Arabidopsis thaliana: one gene and its partner. The protein of the gene in region 1 interacts with the protein of each later gene in a pairwise test. Each region holds a gene or a part of one and is shown on either strand. Other genes may lie near its edges.

Evidence for each region.
Region 2: the proteins of BIGYIN (region 1) and NAPRT2 interact in a two-hybrid assay, tested with the Arabidopsis thaliana proteins (one large-scale study listed by BioGRID).

The regions. Positions count from the first base shown.
Region 1 is NC_003074.8:21,124,434-21,134,716, forward strand, and holds BIGYIN (Tetratricopeptide repeat (TPR)-like superfamily protein), read left to right. Parts: upstream 1-3,962; 5' UTR 3,963-4,193; coding exon 4,194-4,286; intron 4,287-4,689; coding exon 4,690-4,828; intron 4,829-4,990; coding exon 4,991-5,112; intron 5,113-5,238; coding exon 5,239-5,302; intron 5,303-5,453; coding exon 5,454-5,548; 3' UTR 5,549-5,575; exon of another isoform or gene 5,576-5,823; intron 5,824-6,404; 3' UTR 6,405-6,656; downstream 6,657-10,283. Other genes in the region: AT3G57070 (Glutaredoxin family protein), read left to right, coding at 1-994; AT3G57072 (uncharacterized protein), read right to left, coding at 1,266-1,403; NRPE5 (Eukaryotic rpb5 RNA polymerase subunit family protein), read left to right, coding at 1,445-1,696, 2,449-2,625, 2,718-2,831, 2,912-3,037; AT3G57100 (transmembrane protein, putative (DUF677)), read right to left, coding at 8,823-9,902. UniProt on the Arabidopsis thaliana protein: Component of the peroxisomal and mitochondrial division machineries. Plays a role in promoting the fission of mitochondria and peroxisomes.
Region 2 is NC_003071.7:9,967,261-9,978,451, forward strand, and holds NAPRT2 (nicotinate phosphoribosyltransferase 2), read left to right. Parts: upstream 1-4,342; 5' UTR 4,343-4,558; coding exon 4,559-4,707; intron 4,708-4,798; coding exon 4,799-4,943; intron 4,944-5,031; coding exon 5,032-5,151; intron 5,152-5,243; coding exon 5,244-5,378; intron 5,379-5,471; coding exon 5,472-5,533; intron 5,534-5,629; coding exon 5,630-5,705; intron 5,706-5,928; coding exon 5,929-6,030; intron 6,031-6,164; coding exon 6,165-6,281; intron 6,282-6,371; coding exon 6,372-6,430; intron 6,431-6,535; coding exon 6,536-6,710; intron 6,711-6,793; coding exon 6,794-6,928; intron 6,929-7,013; coding exon 7,014-7,112; intron 7,113-7,195; coding exon 7,196-7,304; intron 7,305-7,380; coding exon 7,381-7,493; coding exon of another isoform or gene 7,494-7,532; exon of another isoform or gene 7,533-7,571; coding exon 7,572-7,649; 3' UTR 7,650-7,947; downstream 7,948-11,191. Other genes in the region: CPT (cis-prenyltransferase), read right to left, coding at 324-481; ICK1 (Cyclin-dependent kinase inhibitor family protein), read right to left, coding at 9,760-9,826, 9,942-10,208, 10,327-10,370, 10,464-10,661. UniProt on the Arabidopsis thaliana protein: Catalyzes the first step in the biosynthesis of NAD from nicotinic acid, the ATP-dependent synthesis of beta-nicotinate D-ribonucleotide from nicotinate and 5-phospho-D-ribose 1-phosphate.

The DNA of each region.
Region 1 (10,283 bases):
ACAAACGCTGCCTCGTATCTCAATCTCCGGGAAGAACACACCAGATCCGGTCTCTCCTGATTCAGTCATAAACACTTGGGAGCTTATGGATGGCTTGGACGATGAATTCGAATTCGAAATTCCCAAACCGGGTAAGCGTCTAAATTCGGATTTTTGCTCTAAACCCGACCCGAATCGGAATGTGAGTTTAAATGGGTCTTCGTTGAAATTGGATGAATCTTACGAGATTGTGAGAATCGAAGAAGACGATGGAGATTGGGTTCCTTTGACTTATAAACCTAAGCAACCTTTGTGGAAGCATTTGTCTGAAGAATCATTTCTCTCTGATTTAGATCCCAGCATTGTCTCATCCTACAAGAAAGCTTTGTCTTCTAAGCTATTAAGCAATCATAGTAATACTAGAAACCCTCATAGACCCACAAAGTCTCTCTCTTGTAGCCCATCATCAAATCCATCCATCTTAATAAGCGAAGAACCAAAATCTGTATCCTCTAGTCAATTGATTTCATCACCAGCCAAACCGAGATTACCAGGAACAGAAGACAAGATTGTACTCTACTTCACAACCCTCAGAGGAATTCGAAAGACATACGAGGATTGTTGTTGCGTTAGAGCGATATTGAGAGGAGTTCAAGTGTCCGTAGACGAACGTGACATCTCTATGGATTCCAAATACAGGAAAGAGCTTCAAAGCGTGCTTGGCGCCGCAGAGAAACCGGTTTGTTTGCCTCAGGTGTTTATCAGAGGAACTCACATTGGTGGCGTGGAGGAGATTATGCAGCTAAATGATGGTGGTGAATTAGCAGAGATGTTGAAAGATTTCCCTGCTTGTGAACGCTTGGGGACATGCCGGAGCTGTGGTGATGCAAGGTTTGTGCCTTGTACTAACTGTGATGGTAGCACCAAAGTGTTTGAAGAACAAGATGAACGGTTTAAGCGGTGTCCTAAATGCAATGAGAATGGATTGGTGCGTTGTCGTGTGTGTTGTCTCTAAGTGATCAGTTTGATCAAAAGATGTGTGTGAGAAAGGGGATATAGATTGATTGACTAAACATGGTATTTGGTTAGTAATGTATATTCAAATAAGTAAGTTGGCTCAAGCCTTTTATTATTTACTCTTATGAGTTGTGTTCTTTTGTTCCATTTACGCTCTTGACCTTTTGAACTAAATGATTCTTACTATATGAAGTACATCAAATGGTAGATGATGATTGATAATTCGCATAATAGCCGAATGATTTGCTTTGTTTGCAAGGTATTTTTTATCAATGAAAAATATGTGCAACATTACCACAAATGTAGTTTGATTGATTGATGTCACCTGCTCGCTCACCTATATTAGCTTTCTTCCTTCTGTTCTTAAATCCTAAAACGACAACGTTTAGTCTCCCTTTAAATCCCATCACTGGACTCGACGACTTTTGCTCAGATAAGGGAGACAAAAATGGAAGTGAAAGGGAAAGAGACAGCTTCGGTTCTGTGTCTGAGCAAATACGTGGATCTATCGAGTGAAGAGAGTCATAGATACTATCTTGCGCGGCGAAATGGCTTGCAGATGCTCCGAGACAGAGGCTACGAAGTCTCCGACGAAGATATCAATCTCTCCCTTCACGATTTTCGAACTGTTTACGGTGAACGTCCCGATGTTGATCGTCTTCGCATCTCCGCTCTGCATCGCTCCGATTCTACCAAAAAGGTATATCGAAGTATTTTCGTATTCGTTGTGATTTTTCGATTTCTAGCTGTTTTTTTGTCTTTGCATGTTGTGGGGTTTACTGTTTGGCAGTGAAGAAGATGATGGAATATGAAATTTGTGACTCTTTTAAATTTCTTATCTTCTAATTGAAGTTTGAATTGCTACTTTTGTGGATTCAGATGACTAAAGTTTACTACTTTATTGTCCTTATCAAGTAGCATACCTCATTTGTTTGTCCTCTGAATTTTTGTAATGTGAAATGTTTCTGGTAACAACTAGCAAAGTGATTCTTAGATCTCTTCCTATGGCTATTGAACATTCGGACAATTCATTGAGTGATCTCTTCAATCTTTAGAGTATGGTCAATGTCAAATGTGCGAGTTCTGATGATAGCTACAAGTTTCCATGTTTAATTCTAGAATGAGATTGAACTGCAAAAGAACGGTTAAGTTGGATATTTGTTGAAAATCTTACCCCTTTTCTTGTTGGTTGTTTGGTTCATGTTACCTCTTTTTGTATGCTTATAGACATGCTTGTCACCTGCTTTCAACTAGTCGATTTCATATATTGATTGCTACAAGATTTTTGTTACTTATAAATGTCTTCTATTTTCAACTCATGATGTTTCTTGCATCAGCTCTAGTCTTATGGCATAACGACAGATATCTCATAGTGATTCTCTGGATATAGTAACATTGTGTTATTGGTTTAAAGGGTCTGCTTCAAGAAGTGTTGTGATTTTGCTTGTTCAGGTAAAAATTGTCTTTTTTGGTACTAGTATGGTTAAAGTCAACGCAATCCGCAGTGTAGTAGCGGATATACTTAGCCAAGAAACCATAACTGGGCTGATATTGGTTCTGCAAAACCATGTAACCAATCAAGCCTTGAAAGCCATTGAACTTTTTTCTTTCAAGGTCGAGATATTCCAGGTTGGTACACCTATATATTTTCCTAATCTAATTTTTCTTGGTTAGTACTTCAAATCTGTAACATCTAGTTTCCTTTTTGCTGTCTTGTTAAGATAACGGATCTGCTAGTCAACATAACCAAACATTCACTGAAGCCACAACATCAGGTGTTGAATGATGAAGAGAAGACAACACTTCTCAAGAAGTTCAGCATTGAGGAAAAACAGGTCCATTATCCATTTCTTGCAGCTAAATAAAAGTAATAGTCTCACTTTTTGAACCGTTCATCCCAAAATTTATTTAACAGCTTCCTCGGATTTCAAAGAAAGATGCTATCGTCCGGTACTACGGATTAGAGAAAGGGCAAGTTGTGAAGGTGAATTACAGAGGCGAACTCACGGAATCGCATGTTGCCTTCCGATGTGTGTGGTGAAGAAACCAATTAAAAACCATCTTGTGTACTTATTTTCAGGAAAAAATAACTTGTATGTTTCTAAGGTTTTGTTTTTAATCCTAGAAGATCCGTTGCTTTGAACACAAGAAAAAAAGTTAAGGAAAAAAAAAAGATCCTTTGCTTGTTCTTGAAAACATTACCATTTATGTTTTCCGTACAAAGAGCAGTCACTACACGCTATCAATACACAAAAACAGGCCATGGAGACTCCAACATTTCTTCAGAGGTTCGAGGACAATCAAAGCTCATTGATGGATCGGTTTGAGCGGTTATCTTTCGAGGCTCACCTCAACAATGCCTTGCTTGGTCGAAGTTTATCTGAGTCAGGCTTCTCTTTGATGTACAGTGCAGTCGTCGATGATTCCCCGATACATACAGCAGCTCCGGCTAGCCAAGCCCGACGACGACTAGGACTGAATAAGATACTAAAAAATCTGATGAAACCAATTAGATATTGTAGCAAAAAAATGGGCAGGGGAAGAAAAGAAGAGGCGTGTGATATTGATCCAAAGAGTTTGAAGAAGTGGCAAACTTTCAGCAAATCTCTCCGATTATTTTGATGCTTTTATAAGTCTTGTATTTTCTATGGACATGAATATATATGTATTTTAACGTTAAACTGTTATTCAATTAAACAAAATACATCACCTAAATTAAAATCGACAACAAAAAAGTACTATGATCTAAAATATGAAATTTGTTGCTTCAGATATTTTTAATAACTTAAAAAATAGAAATTACTTTTACAAACCATCAATAGTAATAACTGCTTGATTGAGTTAAAACTCCACGTTAAACATCTAATCGTGAAAGATTAAATCAGTTTTTTTCCTTTTCTTATCTAGTTGTTATGAATCTTGTAAATTTATTGGAAAAAATCAGTAATACACCATCACATGTCACAGAAGTTTTTTATTCCAAAGGGTTGTTAATAACAAAACAGAAGATATGGTGATCAATGTGGGTAAGTCTTAACAATACAGGGGTCTTGTTGATAAATTCAAGGGATAAATATCGTCTGTTTCCCTGAGCTTGGGCAACAAGTCCAACTTCTCTCCTTAAGAAACTCTCCTTAAGAATTAAGAAAGAGACCAGAAACGAAAACCTCATCAATCAAAGCTCAAAATCGCCTTCAATGGATGCTAAGATCGGACAATTCTTTGACTCCGTCGGTACTTTCTTCAGCGGCAGCGATAAGATCCCATGGTGCGACGGAGATGTCATCGCTGTAAGTTTTCTCTATATCCTTCATTTGTTTCGCTTTTTTCCGCCTATGTTTCCGAAGAAGATGAACCATCTCTTGTAGGCAAATGGAATCATGAACCATTTGCAGAAATTTAGACCTGTTTTCGTGTTTCTGCTTGGAAATTTCTGAAATCGGATTTGCTTTCTCGAGGATATTTTTTTATTGGATTCGATTGAATCGAGCTTTAGAAGTTCATGAGTTGCTGTAAAATTCGTCCTCAAATGAGCGTGATTACTGATTTTTGCACCCTTATGTTGGATCCGAATTTGATAGCTGTGTAGAACTTTACCAAATGTCACAGCATCAATGGTTTTTTGTTTGATAGCTTTGTATCTTCTTCAATCGTCTAGCTTCATCTGCTAAACTCTGTTGTGTTGATGTGCAGGGATGTGAAAGAGAGGTTCGAGAGGCCACAGATTCTGGCACTGAAGATCTTAAGAAAGAGTGCTTGATGCGATTGTCATGGGCCCTTGTTCATTCCCGTCAAACGGAAGATGTTCAACGTGGAATAGCCATGCTTGAAGGTAGTAGTACTCCTATCTTGTTCTGTGAAAACTATGGCCTGACATATTCGTTTGGCTGCAAGACTTAGCACTGGTTTTGACACAAGAAAGCTGAAGCTATTCTTCTGCATCATTTAAACAGAATATTGATAAATTTGTTTTTGTTGTTGTTGTTTTTTTCAGCATCTCTGGAAAGCAGTGCCCCTCCATTGGAGGACCGAGAGAAGCTCTATCTTCTTGCTGTTGGGTATTACAGAAGTGGGAATTACTCAAGGAGCAGGCAGCTCGTGGACCGCTGTATCGAGGTTTCATCCACTTCCCAAATCCTTTCTTTATAGACCCTGTCATCCGCTATATACTACTGTGTGCTGCTTATATATATATATATGTGCTTATTCTTTTGCTCTCTGATGTATGGTTTGTTTTCATAGATGCAAGCTGATTGGAGACAAGCTTTGGTCCTAAAGAAGACCATCGAAGACAAAATCACAAAGGGTAAGCCACTCGTCAAACTTAAACACTTGAATTGATGGATGGTTCTAGGGATTAAACACTTGAATTGATGGATGTTTCTAGGGATAGATAATGTTTGTAACAAATCCTAATTGACTTACAGAGTTACTAAATGGTATTTGTTTATTCTCAGATGGTGTTATAGGGATAGGGATCACGGCTACAGCCTTTGGAGCTGTGGGTCTCATAGCCGGTGGTATCGTAGCAGCGATGTCTCGCAAGAAATGAAAACCACAACCATGACTTCTTCTCTGTGTATACAATGGCAGTTTACTTTTTTTCACATTTTTTTCTTCTTCTTTGAGTGTGTTCTCCACTGCTTACTTCACAATCTATGATATAGAAAAGTCGAAGCTATTTGCTTCGAATTAACATTTTGCTTCGAATTAACATTGTGCCATGTCATTAATTAGCATTTTTACATACCATTTTTACATAGCATTTTAAGATTTTAAACTACAAATTGCGGTTTGCCATATCATTAATTAGCATTTTTATAAACCTTGCAAATTAATATTTTTAGAATTATAATTACTTTCTATATTAAAATATATTAATTATGTAAACTTAGAAATATATATGGAATTTATGTAATTATAATTATGTAATATTAGTCATTCCGCTAATTAATATTTTTATATACAAAGAGATTTATTAAAAAAAGAAACCAAAATTGGCAATATGTCAATTTAATTATTTTTTAGTTAGAAACTTTTATTCTTATTCTTATTTGGTGAATAATCAATCTTAATAAGATTTAACGGCATGTCTTAAATGTGCCAACTACTACGATCTTTAAATGGCCATTTAAGTTTAACAGAAAGTAAATGGCCAAGTCAACGAAACTTGTTTATTTTTTCAAAAAGTCAAACCAAGCTTTACGATTTAAATGACATTTCGAAAGTTCGTGCTTTTTTCGTCCCAAATTTGAAAGTTCGCGATTTTTTTGATATTTTTCTCCATATAATATGTTTATCTTCGGAGAAAAGCTTTATGAAACTGCATTTAATAGGTTTACTGAATTCACTTTATGTAAAGTTTGCCTATTGTATGTACTCTGACTCAATCCCAAATAACTCAGCAGATTTTGAAGTAGTGGTGGTGGTGCACAGCTGATGTCGTCGAGGTCAAGGAGGATCTTTGAGAAGAGCAAGAGAGTTTTATGTTTACTTGAATGAGTATCTTTGTATGAATTCTCAGTTTTTACACCAAACACCATTTACTTTGGTTAAAAAAAATTTAAAGAACCCCACCATTTGAGCAGACAAAACTAAATGACTACAATTCAAGTTCTTAAAGTGGGGGGTATTGGAGCAATGACTTTGACCGAATTTATTAGAATATAGATTCTATTGTTATTCAATTAGGCGTTTTATAAATTCTTTTAAATTCTAGTGTTATTCAGTTTCTCAATTTCTTAATTCTACTCAATTCAAGTGTTATTCAATATTATCTAATTTTCATGACAATGTCATTTGCCAAGAATTTAATAGAAATATTAGTGCAAAATGCACAAAACAAATGGTCGTATAAGGCTAATGTAAAGGGTCTGCTAGATCTAATGTAAAGGCTAATAAGCAGCTAATTTCCCTTTTTGCACGATTAATAAGCCTAATGTTAGTATTGTTGATGTTCCTGATTCTTGTCTTCAAGTACTCTCCAAACTTTCAAGCCTAATGTTACTTGTTCTCAGAAAACGGTTCCTTACACCATAGAGTACTCTTGTCATTGTGCATAATCATCATCGACGCCCTTAGCTGCGGAGATAGCTCTCGTTATCGACGTGAACTCCGAGAAGAATACAAAGAAGATGTTTGGAAATCTACAATGATCAGAGAGGATTTAGCGAGAAAAGCGGAGAAGTTATGCGATCTGTTAAACTTAGCAGTATTGAGAGTGGTTTTAAGACGAAGAAAAAGGAGGAAATGTTGTAGATTTTGAAACGTATGATTAGAGATTTACAAGTGGAGACTGTGGAGAAGAAATAGGTTCAGTTGTTAGCAAAACTGAAATTAGAAACAGAGAATTAGAAAAATTATTAGTACTTTTTAATTCTATTCAATTCTAATAAAATGCTGAAAATGTAATCGTTAGAATTGAAAAGAATATTTAAAATCTTTTGCAATGCGTGAAAATCTGTAATTATGTGTCCAATTCAATTCAATCAAATTCTATTAAACTCTTTGATCCAATAAGTTTCATTAAAGCAAAATTGAAACTTAATGACTACATGATGAAAGTGCTGGAGGTGTGTATTCTGCTATCCATATTTCCACTCTAATTGTATCCGTTACTTTGTTTTCTTCCTAGCCTTTTATTTCTTCTCATTATGCACTCTGTTAGTCAAATGTTTCTTTGTCGATATGTCATAGCAATCTGGAACTCAAAGATACTGTCTCATTTGCTAGCTCGAGCCCTCGTGGTTTTTCATTTATTCATGAATTTCTTGCTCTTCATTTGATCTATTCACAGATAGAGAACCACATGGCTGCAGTGGCATGTGATACGCCTTTCAATTTCTTGAACCACATGACAATTTTAAATTTATCGAACTTTACCCTACCTATGAGTAATTTGTTTGATAAGAAAATTCAGCTAGATGTTCATCAAGTGGTTACTGTTTATATGATCAGTTAAGTACTTGAGCTCAACTCTTTGATATCCTTTGAGAAGGAGTGTATGTTGTTGCTTGTTAGTTCTTCTTCTATGTTGTGATATTCTTGAAGATTTGAATGAACAATCTTCTGTCCTAAAAGTTCAATTCTTGTCTCCAGGAAAGAACACCAGAGAAAGGGCTTAATGGCTTATGTTACGTTCTCATCAAAGTTTCCCAGCCAGGACATGGCAAGGGCATGATCAGTCCAGTGTTGGGACCGCCGTAGCAGCTACAGCACCGCCACTGTTTTCAAATGCAGCATCATCAGGATTCTCACTCTCAGCTACACGCCCTCCTTCATCATCAGCCCTTCGTCAATTTGAATCAGCCCGGTCTCTATGTTATCCACCCATCTGATTACATATCTTAGCACCAACACAATCTCATGAACCGCCCACAACCACCACCATAGCTTCCTCCTTCCTCCGCATAACTCAAGGTAAGACTTTCTTGGAAACAACAACATTCAACTCATCGTTTGGCTCAACACACAAGCTGTAGTTTCCCCTTCCTGTTATACGTTACGTTTACAATCCAAAAGAAAAATTCCAATTTTGATAGAAGACCCCTAGAGTTTGAGATGTTTGTATTCATATGAATCTTGATGGAAACATGAAAAGTATGATAAATGCTTAGTGAATAGGACATCCTAAGGAAGAGTTCCAAGTTGAGGCAAACACATATTAGACCTCCTGTTTTCTGCTTCTCTGTAAATCTCAAACACATATTTGAGGCAAAGTTTTCCTAAGATCATACAAAACTACAAGTAACAACATACTTTGTATTTGTCAAAATTTACAATTAAAAATTCTAAGGGATCCTTACCATTGGAGATGGTAAAAACAACTATTTGGAGCTCTTGTCGCCACGAGAAAGAAACTCAGTAATCTTCTCCAGAGCCACCGTACGACCAAACTGAGCAAAACCATTGCAAAGTCCAGTCTCTCTGTCTAGGTCAACGAGAGTTGACTTCAACCTCTTCCGTTCCTCTTCCACCTCTCTCATAGCTACAACCACCGAAGACCTTTTCTTAACAGCAAACTCCGCCGTCAAACTAATTGACCTCTCCACAGACTCCAATCGACTCACGAGTTTACTAATTTTCTCCACTTGCTTGAGAGCCACGATAATTCCTCTTTCCATTGAACTCATGGCCGTCTTCTCCCTTTTCAAAGATTCCGTTGATTTTCTCCATCTTGAAGCTACGAAGGTACTCAATCCCTCTATAGGAACTAATCCGGCAACGAGTTTACTCAAGAAGATTACAGCAATTACCGGAGCTAGTAAAGCTGCCGTGACAATCGCTCTTCGTCCTCGAACACGTCTCAGCTTTTTGTCGATATCTTTCATCGTCTTCTCCAGTTTAACGACCATCTTCGCCAACTCTTCATGACAAGTCTGAAACTTTCTGAGAAACTCGCAATAATCCAAGTCGTCTTCTTCACCGGAATTGTTGTTGTAAAAGGCGTTGAAGTTCCTCAGATCTCGGTAGGTTTTTCTGAAACTAGCTTCTTCGAGTGACCCACCATAACCTAATTTTTCCAACTCAAAATCAACTAGTGCTTCATCAAGTAAGAGACACTCGTTGTTCTCGGATCTCTCTAAGCAAGTTCTAAGAGACTCGCAGAGCTGGGAAACACCTTTGCTAGTGGTGAAGTAATGGTTGAGAAGACGGAACAAGTCGGGATCTTCACGGAGATCAGTTTGTTGAAACTCGATGAAGAGTTTAGAGACGTCTTCGTCCATATTATCCATACACTCGCCAAGTTTGTTAAGATTATCTTCTGATCGTGATCGCAGCATCCCATTACTGTGGCCGATGGAAGACGAAGTGGTAGGTGACGATAGGAGAAACATTGTTGGAGAAATCATGGAGATCGGTTTACGCCTGAGAATGAGTCTCAAGAAAGGATTGCAAAATTTCATCGTCGTTTTTTGCAGAGTAAAAAGAAGATCAATACGATCTTTAGAGAACAGAGTAAACAAAAATACGATCTTTAGAGAACAGAGTAAGAGAGTTTCACAATTTTGATCAGATGAATAAGAATCATTATAGAAAAATTAGTCAGCAGTCGGGTTATATTAATAAACTTGTAAGAAATTTCCATTTATTTGCGAAGAAGTATTTCCTTTTTTTTTTGCCAAGTCAAAATTTCCTTTTTTCTTACTTTTCTACAGCTGTATAAACCCTCGGAAAAAAAGAAATTGATGCAACGGTCATATTGAAATATTTATGAATAAAAATTGAGAAATTTGGTGTTATAACCAACAAAAATTTAATAATTAAGAAACTAACCTAAAAAAAGA
Region 2 (11,191 bases), on another chromosome or scaffold:
CAAAAATACCACAAACTAGATTTTCAGACTTTTATAAATATGGTATAGAAAGTGTTTATAAGGGTTTTATAACATGTGTGGCTAGAAATTGCTTATAAAGTTTACAGCGTGGATATAACTTAAAAGATTGACATTTTGTATGAAAAAATGTATATGTGTAACACACAGCAGATTAAGTTATTGCTAATTGGCTAAATGCATGCCAAATTTTATTTGAAGGTTGTAGGTTTTTAATGACAAGTTTGAAAATTTTAGTTAAGAGAGTACTAAAACATATAACTACTACTAAAACTAAAAGTATGATTAGAAAACGCGAACTATACCGTTTCTCGTTGTCTCGAGCAGCTTTGATTTTGATGAGTCCGATGAGTTTTAGCAAGAACACAGGGAAGCCTATATAGCTTGTGATAAAGAGACAAGGGATGAGAAAGAGAAAGAGGAGTGATAATAGAGAAGAATCAGAAGAAAGAAGAGACAACATTGTTGTGACAACTTAATTTGGCTTTGCCTCGATGTTTGTTTGAGTTATTGAGGCTTTCTCATTTACAGTATATATATTAAGAAATCAAAGACATTGATCAATCAAACTACGCAAAGACAGGTGGTAATACGTATTACACTCTTCCTTGGTGAAACTTTAATATCAGTTAATAGAAGTTTTGTAACGTTATCTATCTTTTTTCCAGCTGCAAGTTGTAACGTTTTGTAACGTATTACACTAGGGCTTTGGAAGTTGGAACCCACGTGATTGGTTTCTTGTGTCACAAGACTGTGATTAGCACCAATAATTTTAGAGAAATTAATTAAACTCTCTTATTTTTCTGGCCAATTACGAGTCTGGTTAAAATATATTGACCGAAAAAGGTCTTTATAAATTACACGGAAAATGTTGAGATGAGAAGAATCCAAAACTCTCTTATCACAGTATGTTAATTACCAAAAAAAAAAAAAAGGAAGTAAAATCACAGTGCTCGCTGATGATTTTTCTTAAATCATGGAACGTACATGAATTTGAATTCTTCCTCGTGACACTCTTTGGTTGACATTTTTAACCAACAGAATTGTTTGCAGTTGAAACAAGCTTTTGAGTTTTGACCGTACAAAATTAGTCGATATGCTATACGAAGATCTCTATAAGAAAGATCTGTCGAACCGAGTAGTTTGAAAGATAGTTAAGCCTGCTACATGTGCAGTGTTCTCCAAGAGAAAAAAAAAAACACAAGAAAACATGGGGCAAGTTCATGGAGTGTTAGACAAAGAGAAAAACGTGTCGTAGTTAACATGTCTTAAAAAGGCATGCAGATAAAGTTCATGACAGAAGGATTTCATGGTAAACTATGGTCGATGTATATGCCATCATCATGTGGAAAATGAATCATATGCTAGCTTTGTCAAATAAAAGAATATATAAAAGACATCTCGTACACAATATTATATTTTAGATTGAATAAATAAGAGTTCAGAATATTAATATACTTCGCTGCTCTTTTGCTACACCATAATACTGTGTTGAAACGTACATAACTACATATATGTGCAAGAAGATGTTATTATAGCCATTAAACTTGATCCTAAAAAAAAATCTTAATTATTTTTCTTTTCATCTTAAATACTAATTTTGTAACTCAATCTTAAATGTGCATATGCTTTTATCAAGTGTTTTTGATAGCTATATTATTTTAATTCTATTTATATGAAAAAAACATATACAGGTGGAAGATTTCTTTGTTGAAATGCAAGAAAAAATAATTTCTATTTGTTGAATAAATGTCTTAAATGGAGAAAGCTCCTTGGATATCATTGCATATGTTAAAATTTTCTACATTTCAACAAAGAATATAGAAAATTTCTATGTTTTTCTTTGTTAGTGTGACAGAATCTACTAAAAAATACATATTTTTATGCCAATGGTTAATATGTTTAACGTTTTGTGTTTTAGTGATATCATACAAAAGTTTCTAGCTAGCTAGATTTTTATGCCAATGGCTCTCTCCATTTTTTTATGATTAAATTTTCAAAAAACTAACAAGAGAACTTTGTGTATTATTTCTTGGTTTTTTATACTCCAATGGTAGGTTCTCTTAAAGGAGGTCTCTTAAAAAAAAAATATTCATATAAATTATTTTATTTCATACAACTTAATATTACAAAGCATAAAATATTAAAATACATTTTTTGGAAATATTATAAAATAGATGTGAAATAAATATTATAATGTTTAGTTAAATATATAATTTTGTCATAAATTATGAGCTAATTAAAACAAAATTAGTAAACCAAAACATTTAGGGGGATGTATTGGATTAGGGATTTTAGAAGATTTTTGTTTTTCTTAAAAACCATATCAAATCTAGTGTTATTCAAAAATTAAAAGGTTTTTGTTCCTCTACTCATCAACAAATTAAAATTCTTATAATTTTTTTTTTTTTGTTTGGCTTGAATCTGCATGACTCACTCAAATTAGAAGCCAATTACTATCATCAAATTAGAGATACATTTAACTATGAAGCGAATTACTATCACCAAATCATGAGCTATATGTGTTCCATAGTTACAGAGTCTATCACCAAAATACATAACGCCAACAAAACAAACTCCTAGTCTTGTACATCTATGAAGCCAATGACTCAAAACATACAACATAACCATCATGAAGCCAATTACTAAGAAAAAGCAACAAAAGAAAGAGATAGATACAGAGAAAAGAGAAAATACTTGAGCAAGTTGGGACTGAGTCAGCTTCTTGTCTTCTCGGGCTTGCATGATGGCTTTCTTCAACTTAGTGGGCACACGATCACCTGATTTTAAAACCATATAAAGGTGTTAACGATAACCAGCATTACGAATCAATCAAACACATATGTAGACTTCCTCTCGCTAATAATGCAAACTGAAGAAAATATTAATAACCCAAGAGAACAGACTAGATTACTAGAATGACTGTACCCAAGCAAAAGCTGGTTCTTATGGGATCCAAATCAACAACACTGATCCCCATGCAACAAACAATAAAACGAAACAGATCAATCAGATAACTTCTTCGTTTTCTAAAGAACCAAATCATCTACACAACTAAATCAATCAAAGCTTAGTCATCTTCCTATCTGACAATGCTCTGATTCGAGGGAACGAAGCAAGGGTTTGGTGGGAGATTGGATTTGGGACAAACACATATAGAATTGGGTCATCGATTTGGTGAAACGAACTCGGAATGGTGAGCAGCGTCGAGAGAGACGACCAATAGAGAGAGTGAGAAAATTTCCCGACGGAATGAAAAATAAAGACACAAGGATTTTTTGTTGGTTAAATATATCAACCAACCACTGACTGCCACGTAGGAGGCTCTCTCCAGAATTATTTGTTTTGATTATTTTTAATCAACAACTTCAAGAGAACCCTATCAAATTGTGATACTCATATCATGACACTGACAAATAAAAGAGACCATGAATATGGTTAGGCCATATGCGATATGGCTTCAAAAACCAAGTTGGGACAATCTTATGTTTAGTCTTAAGTTTGAGTTCATTTTAATTCATTTTAGATACTATTGTTTGATGTAAAATTAAACTTTGATAAATAAATGTACCTAAATTTGGATTGATTTTTTCATAATCATGTTTAAAATTTTTGGTGTTATGCAATTCTGTTTTGTTTTGTTTTTCCATAATAAGCATCTGAACATTTTTACAATATTTATATATTTTAAGAAACTGAAGTTTTAAGATGTATTAATCTACATTAACCTTTTCTATTTTAATGTTAACAAATATTATATATTATAAGTACAATATTCATCAAATACTATAACATATATGTGAAATGTAAATATTTACTACTAATCAAATATCATACTGCATATTTGATTGCAAAAGAGCTAAAAATCATTAATATTGCACATTAAAAATAGTCAATAAACTAAAATCATTAAATACACAAATATATCATAACACAGCAAGTGTGTACCATTATTAATCAATAGATTTACGCTATACAAGTTTTCCGAATTATGTATGTGAAATAAATCACACCAAAAAAATGTATTTGAAATGAAAAAATTCCCCGCCTCTGTAATTTAAGTTTTTTAGATTAAAACAGCTAAACTCTTTTCATTAATTTATTAGAGATACAAGATATTGTTATTTGTTACCAATACCAATATGTAAATTTTTCTGAGTAATTATTATAATTAGTTGAATTTGGCTACCATATGCCAATTTTCAACACATAAAATTCTTTTAAACGTGAAAATTCCAATAATCTAAGAGCCAACAACCACGAAAATTAAACCTCGTTTTAGTCTAAACTCTAAAATGAGAAATAATTAGAAACCAATAAAGGCTCTTAAAGAAAGACTAGGTCAAGTTCAAAGCAAGTTTTGCTTTGTGTGGTGGTCGTCGTCTCTTTCTTTAAACACACTTGTTTTTTTCTTTTTCCTTTGACCACTCCAATATAAACAACCAAGAACCAGTGTTCCTCGTCCATTCACTCTCTCGTAATCACACACACACTCACTCATACGAAGCCAATTGTTCCACACAAATTGGAAGCGACGACAATGGAGCCGAAAGAGAACGGCTCAGAATTGGGTCAGAAGATCATTGACGGACCAACGAATCCAATGGTCACACCTTTACTCAATGATCTTTATCAATTCACCATGGCTTATGCTTATTGGAAAGCTGGCAAACACAACGAACGATCCGTGTACAACACACAATCTCTTCTCATGCTCTGCTTTTGATGTTGAATTCTGAATGGTTTTGTATATTTGAAATTGTTTTTGTTTCCTTTTCAGTTTCGATCTGTATTTTCGTAAGAACCCATTTGGTGGTGAGTACACTGTGTTTGCTGGATTAGAAGAGTGTGTTAAGTTCTTAGCCAATTTCAAATTGACTGATGAAGAAATCGATTTCGTTCAAGAGTGTTTGCCTGGATCTGAGGTATATCAAAAATCTGTTTGTTTTTAGATTGTTATTGATTAAAGTTTGGATTTTTAAATCAGGGTTTTATGTTTGTGATTCAAATTAGGAAGCTTTTTGTGATTATCTTAGAGGGCTTGATTGTTCTGATGTTGAAGTTTATGCAATTCCGGAAGGATCAGTTGTTTTTCCTAAAGTACCTCTCATGAGAGTTGAAGGACCTGTTGGTGTGAGTCTCTTTGTCTCTTTCATTTGTGAAGATTGTTTAAGGAATAGTTTTCTTGAATGAATGATTCATCAGTTGTTGTAAAATCTCCATAGGTTGTTCAATTGTTGGAAACTCCATTCCTCAATCTTGTCAATTTTGCATCTTTGGTAGCTACTAACGCAGCTAGGCATCGCTTTGTTGCCGGAAAATCTAAGAGTCTACTCGAGTTTGGTGCTCGAAGGGCTCAGGTTTCCTATAAATCTCTCTCTTGTTTTTTGATATATTGCCTTTTGTGTTGTTCTTTCCATCTCTGTCTGATGTTATTAGTGTTGGAATCTTAGGGTCCGGATGGTGCAATAAGCGCATCAAAATATTGCTACCTTGGAGGTTTTGATGCAACAAGGCAAGTCTTGCTTTTTGTTTTTGTTGATCTGGAAGTAGGTGAAAGGGAATGTGGAAATGATGTGTTTTGTGTTGTTGGGTATTTTGCCAATGACAGTAATGTAGCAGCTGGAAAACTTTTTGGGATTCCTCTTCGTGGAACACACTCTCATGCTTATGTTAGCTCATTCATGGTCAGTTCACTTCAGCCAAAAGTTTCAATTTTTATGTGGAGGTTACATACTTGAGTTAGCTAGTAGAGACGATAACACAAAGTTTCGTGAAAATAAGATATTCTTGTCAATGCCTTTGTTGCTATAACTTTATTAGCCATGGTTCTGATGCACACTTAATATCCTCGCTCATAACAATATCACAAAAGCATTTTCGATATAATTAGTTAACTTTGGATTGCAGAGTACTGATGAGATTGTTGACAAAGTACTTCGTAGTGCTGATGGGAAAACCACGTGCGAGGATTTTGTTAGTCATGTTCAGACATGGTTAAAAAAGATTCAGGTTTGTTTATTGCACATTTTGCTCTTCCTCTTCCTGTTTTCTAGTCTCAGGACCATTGTTCTATTTCTGCTTCAACCCTTTGCTTGAATCTTTGTCACAGTTTTTCTTATGTTTTGTTTCTTTGTGGATGACAGTATTCACCATCTCTAAGTGGCATTTTCTCTGAGACAAATCAAAGCGAGCTAGCAGCTTTCACCTCATATGCACTGGCATTCCCCAAAACTTTTCTTGCCCTCGTAGATACATACGATGTGAGCATTAAACACCATAGTAGATAGCTCATTTGAGCCTTAGGATTTCTAATAAACTCTTATATTAGTGTTTTGCTGACTGTTTTACAGGTGATGAAGAGTGGAATCCCTAACTTCTGTGCAGTTGCTTTAGCACTCAATGACTTTGGGTGTGTAAGAATCTCTTATCAATACCCGATCGTCTGACTTGACTTTGTACTTCTTCAGGATCATATGGAATTTGAGATGCAATTGATGTTTATTGTGCTGCGCAGATATAAAGCATTAGGTATTAGACTGGATTCAGGTGATTTAGCTTATCTATCTAGAGAGGCCAGAAATTTCTTCTGCACGGTAGAGAGAGAACTAAAAGTGCCTGGTTTTGGGAAGATGGTCGTCACTGCTAGTAATGATCTAAATGAAGAGACGATTGACGCTTTAAATAAACAGGTGACTCCCTAACCCACTCTCAAATGCCATGCCCCCGAAAGATTGATTATTATTAAGCAGTGTTTTTTCTTTCATCTCTATAGGGACATGAGGTGGATGCTTTTGGCATCGGGACCTACTTGGTCACTTGCTATTCACAAGCGGCCTTAGGTTGCGTTTTCAAACTTGTGGAGATAAACAATCAGCCTCGGATTAAACTTTCTGAAGATGTTACAAAGGTTAAAACTCTCTCTCTCTCTCTTGGTGTTCTGAACATTCAATGTCACATTGCACTTAATCTGATTATCATTCTGATTCGTTTAGGTATCAATACCGTGTAAAAAGCGAAGTTACAGATTATACGGCAAAGAAGGTTACCCTCTGGTAGATATAATGACTGGAGAGAACGAACCACCTCCAAAGGTAAAACGAAAGATAACTCTCTCAAAGATTTTAATCTCATTACCTTATTGCATTTTTACATAATATCTTTCTTGATATCAAAGGTTGGTGAGCGTTTACTTTGTCGTCACCCATTCAACGAATCCAAAAGAGCATATGTAGTGCCACAACGTGTCGAAGAGCTCCTCAAATGTTATTGGCGTGGAAGTGCAGGTAAAGATTTTCCGGTACCGTAGAGTTATTAATGACAATGCTTTTCACTGATTATTGTTTCTCTATACCAATGAAGATGAAGCAAGAGAAGTATTACCGCCTTTGAAAGAGATAAGAGACCGTTGCATCAAACAGCTCGAAAACATGCGACCTGATCATATGAGGAGATTAAACCCAACTCCTTATAAGGTATGGTTTTATCCGACAAACATGTTTTTCAGTTTCTGAGAAATCTGTGTAAATGTTTTTTTCTCTCATGGTTTACAGGTTAGTGTAAGCGCAAAGCTGTACGATTTCATCCACTTCTTATGGCTAAACGAAGCACCTGTTGGTGAATTGCAGTGACAGAACAACCAAAAAGAAGAATCTGGTTTTGGTTTGGTGTAATGTATATAATTTATATACCACAGCATCACAAATATGCATTTTTTTCACTTTTAGTTTCTTTTTCTTACAACATTTTGATGATCTCTCATTGTCGTAGTAAGTTTCATTTTCTTACTGAGGAAAGAAACTCTCTGCGTTCACTGGAACTTTGTTTTCAACTGATTCAATAAGATTTTATATTTACAGCTGTAAACATACTGGAGACTGTAAAAACATTTACTCAAGTCAACGATTTTGGATCAGGTTTAGTTTCGTCATATGGTTGACAACTTACTGTTGCAAACGGATTGGTAAGCAGTTGAGTTAATTGAGTTTTTTCTAGCAGAGATTTGAAGAACATTACCTTTCTTCAAAAACTTCTTTAGGCGTTACTAGGACGTTTGGGGTGGACCTAGTCACTAACCACATATTCAAAATTCATTTCCAAAAAGATGAATTATGGAATATGAGAATAGAAAAATACAACAGAGTAAATGAGGAGTAAAACTTTATTACAGAAACTTACCAAACAGTAAAAAAAAATATGGAATATAAGGAAACCATTACTTAACGAAAAATCACTTAACAAGAATACAAGATGACTAAAAATGACAAGACGATAATCCATCCAAATTGAGGTTAAAAACAAGTGATAGTTTTGGTCTTATACAACAGAGTTATACAAGTGTAACTTTGAATTCTTATGGTCTCCAAATAGCCATGGCTTCGAGGGCAGGGCACTCGATATGGGCGTGGGTTTTCTTGGATGAAAGTTAAATTTGTTGATATAAAAGAAACACATAGTATACACAAAACTGGTCGGGACCAATACTCTTTTTTTTTTTGGCTCCGTTCATATTTTCAAAACAACAATTCTTTAGTGAAAATTAATAGATTGATTAAAGAAAAAAATGTTGAGAAAACATGAACTTTCATATTGTTGACGAAAAAAACATGAACTTTTCAAATGTCATTTAAATCCTAAAGTTTAGTTTGACTTCTTAAAAAATAGTTAATTTAGTTGACTTGGCCATTCCAAACATATCTTTAAGTTTCCCTTAACAATATCACGAAAATAAAACAGCCCTCGATGAAAGAATTGTTTTTGTTTATTTGAGTCCCTCATTTAACCTGTTTGTGATCTGAATTAAGCTTACATATACAAAATGGTCCATGATCATTTGTTTTGAAGATTTTCTGAAATGGTCCATGAAAGAGTTTTGTTTCCAAGTCTTCGGATAATTTGTCTAGTTACAAAATGGTCCTGCATCATTTGGAATAATGTATTTATGGCATTATCTCAAAATTCTCTAACCATTGGGCCAGTACAGTATGCCCTTTACAGATCTAAAGTTTTATTATATGCTAGTATTATTATAATTAAAATTTTGAAAAGTTTCAAACCAAGTTTCGTGTGATAGAATGTTTGTGATTTGTTATTAATCAATAAACTTTAAGAATAACAGAATCATCTTGAAATTCTGATTGGTCGAGCTCAATCATATTCGGTGCTGAATATGAAACAAAAAAATTAGTTGGTGTGGTTAGCTGACATGGTTGGTACGATTTTGTTCAACAAAAAACTGCACTGAAATTGTCGATTAGTTAATTTAAGTAGTAGAACAATAATAACTAATTTCATAGTACTTTTTAATCCATATCAAACGTTGTAAGAAATAAAATTCTAAAATAATTTTAAGCGTTTAGGGCGGTAAGATAATCTACCAAAATGCATTTGATGTTTTTGGTTGAATATTATTAAAACGGAGAAGACAAAAAAATGAGTGTGGTTGTACCTGTGTGGGGATAGAATTTTATCAGTCACCAAAAACATAAAAATGTACTAAAGAATATGCTAAAAGATACACAAGATTCGAAGAAGAGGTAAAAGTAGAGCTAAAAGACACGACTTTTCTGGGCTCTAAAATCTGTTAAAAAGCTTTCTTCTTTTTCTGTGCAATTTCGTACTTCTAAAAACATTCCTCCTACAAATCTTATATTTCCAAATCAACAAAATAAAATTAACTTATTCCCTGAAATATTAAAATCTAAAAAGTTAAAAAAAAAACCATAAACTTCTTCTTCTTCTTCACTCTAACTTTACCCATTCGTAACGTCCTTCTAATGGCTTCTCCTTCTCGAAATCGAAATTGTACCTAATTAAAAAAAAATAAACTCACTCTTAATTTTACCTCAAAATCAATTTTAAATTATGAATAAAAAATATATTATCTATAAAAATCAAACTCACAAAATAAAATAAAAACTTACTTCTTCTTGAATTTTTCTTTGAGTTGTTTCTCAGCTTCCACAAAAAAATCTTCAATTTCCGATTCCGTTGGCATCTCCGTCATCAATTTCGCCTTCTCCTCCTCCTCCGCCGTCACCGTCTCCTCCATCGTTTTCCTCCCGCTACAACAACAATCTAACGATTCTTTAACCGCCGATTCAAATTCCGATGAATAATTCTCCATGGATTTACTTAATTCTTCTTTCTCCTCCTCTCTCAGATTTTCAAAAAGCTTCCTCTTCGTACCCCTAAAATAACTCACAAGCAAGATTCTAAATTTATTGAAGAGAGAGTCAAATAAATAACCGGGAAAATAATAAAACCTTCAAAATTCAAATCATTTTCAGTTTTTTTTTTAACACTCACCGTCGATACGTCGACGTTTCAGTGTCACCATCTTTATCTTCCTCCTACAAAAATTTCAAAATTTCAAAAAAAAATACATTAACATTAAATGATACATATACAGTTACAAGAATCTAGAATCAACAACATTAAATAACCTCCAGATGTATTAATTCTTTCTTCTTATATTCATTGCTTCCACTACAAGACGACGAAACTCCATTATCACCGACGACGGAGACAGAGCTTGATTTTTCCGATCTAACATAAACAATTCTCCGGCTCCGTAGCTGCATATACGTTGACGAAACTCCAGCTTCTACAATTCCTTTAGCTTTTCTATATTTTCTCACCATCTTCGATTTAGGTTACGTGTGCGTGAAGTCACAATCTCTGTGAGAGAGAGAGATATGATTGAGAGGATGAGGAAGAAGAAGAAAGAAAGATGATGAATTTGGTTTTGAACGGTCAGGATTGAGTTTTGTGCTGTGTGTGATAGAGAAATGGCGTGTTTTAGTGGTCCCGTTACAGTGACGGGGAATCTTTAACGGGGAAACTGGAGGCGCCGTTATTTGGATGTTATGGAGTTACTTATGCCGATGGTTTGTTTTATTGACACGTGTCGGTTATAAACGGTGACTTAACGGAACGGGAGGCGTAATAATTGTGGTGTAACTAACTATTTTAAAAACCCTCTCATCTATTGGTAATTCACAGATTTGCCATTACGCGAAACCGTTTAAAATGTTTTAAATTATAATTGACAAGCTTTTTGTATAGTTGGGATGAATTTTATAGTTTAGGTAAAATTAGAAAGTTCATATTACTTTAAAATGAATTGGATAGAGACTATATATAGATTATGTGTATAGTATAGGTGGATTGT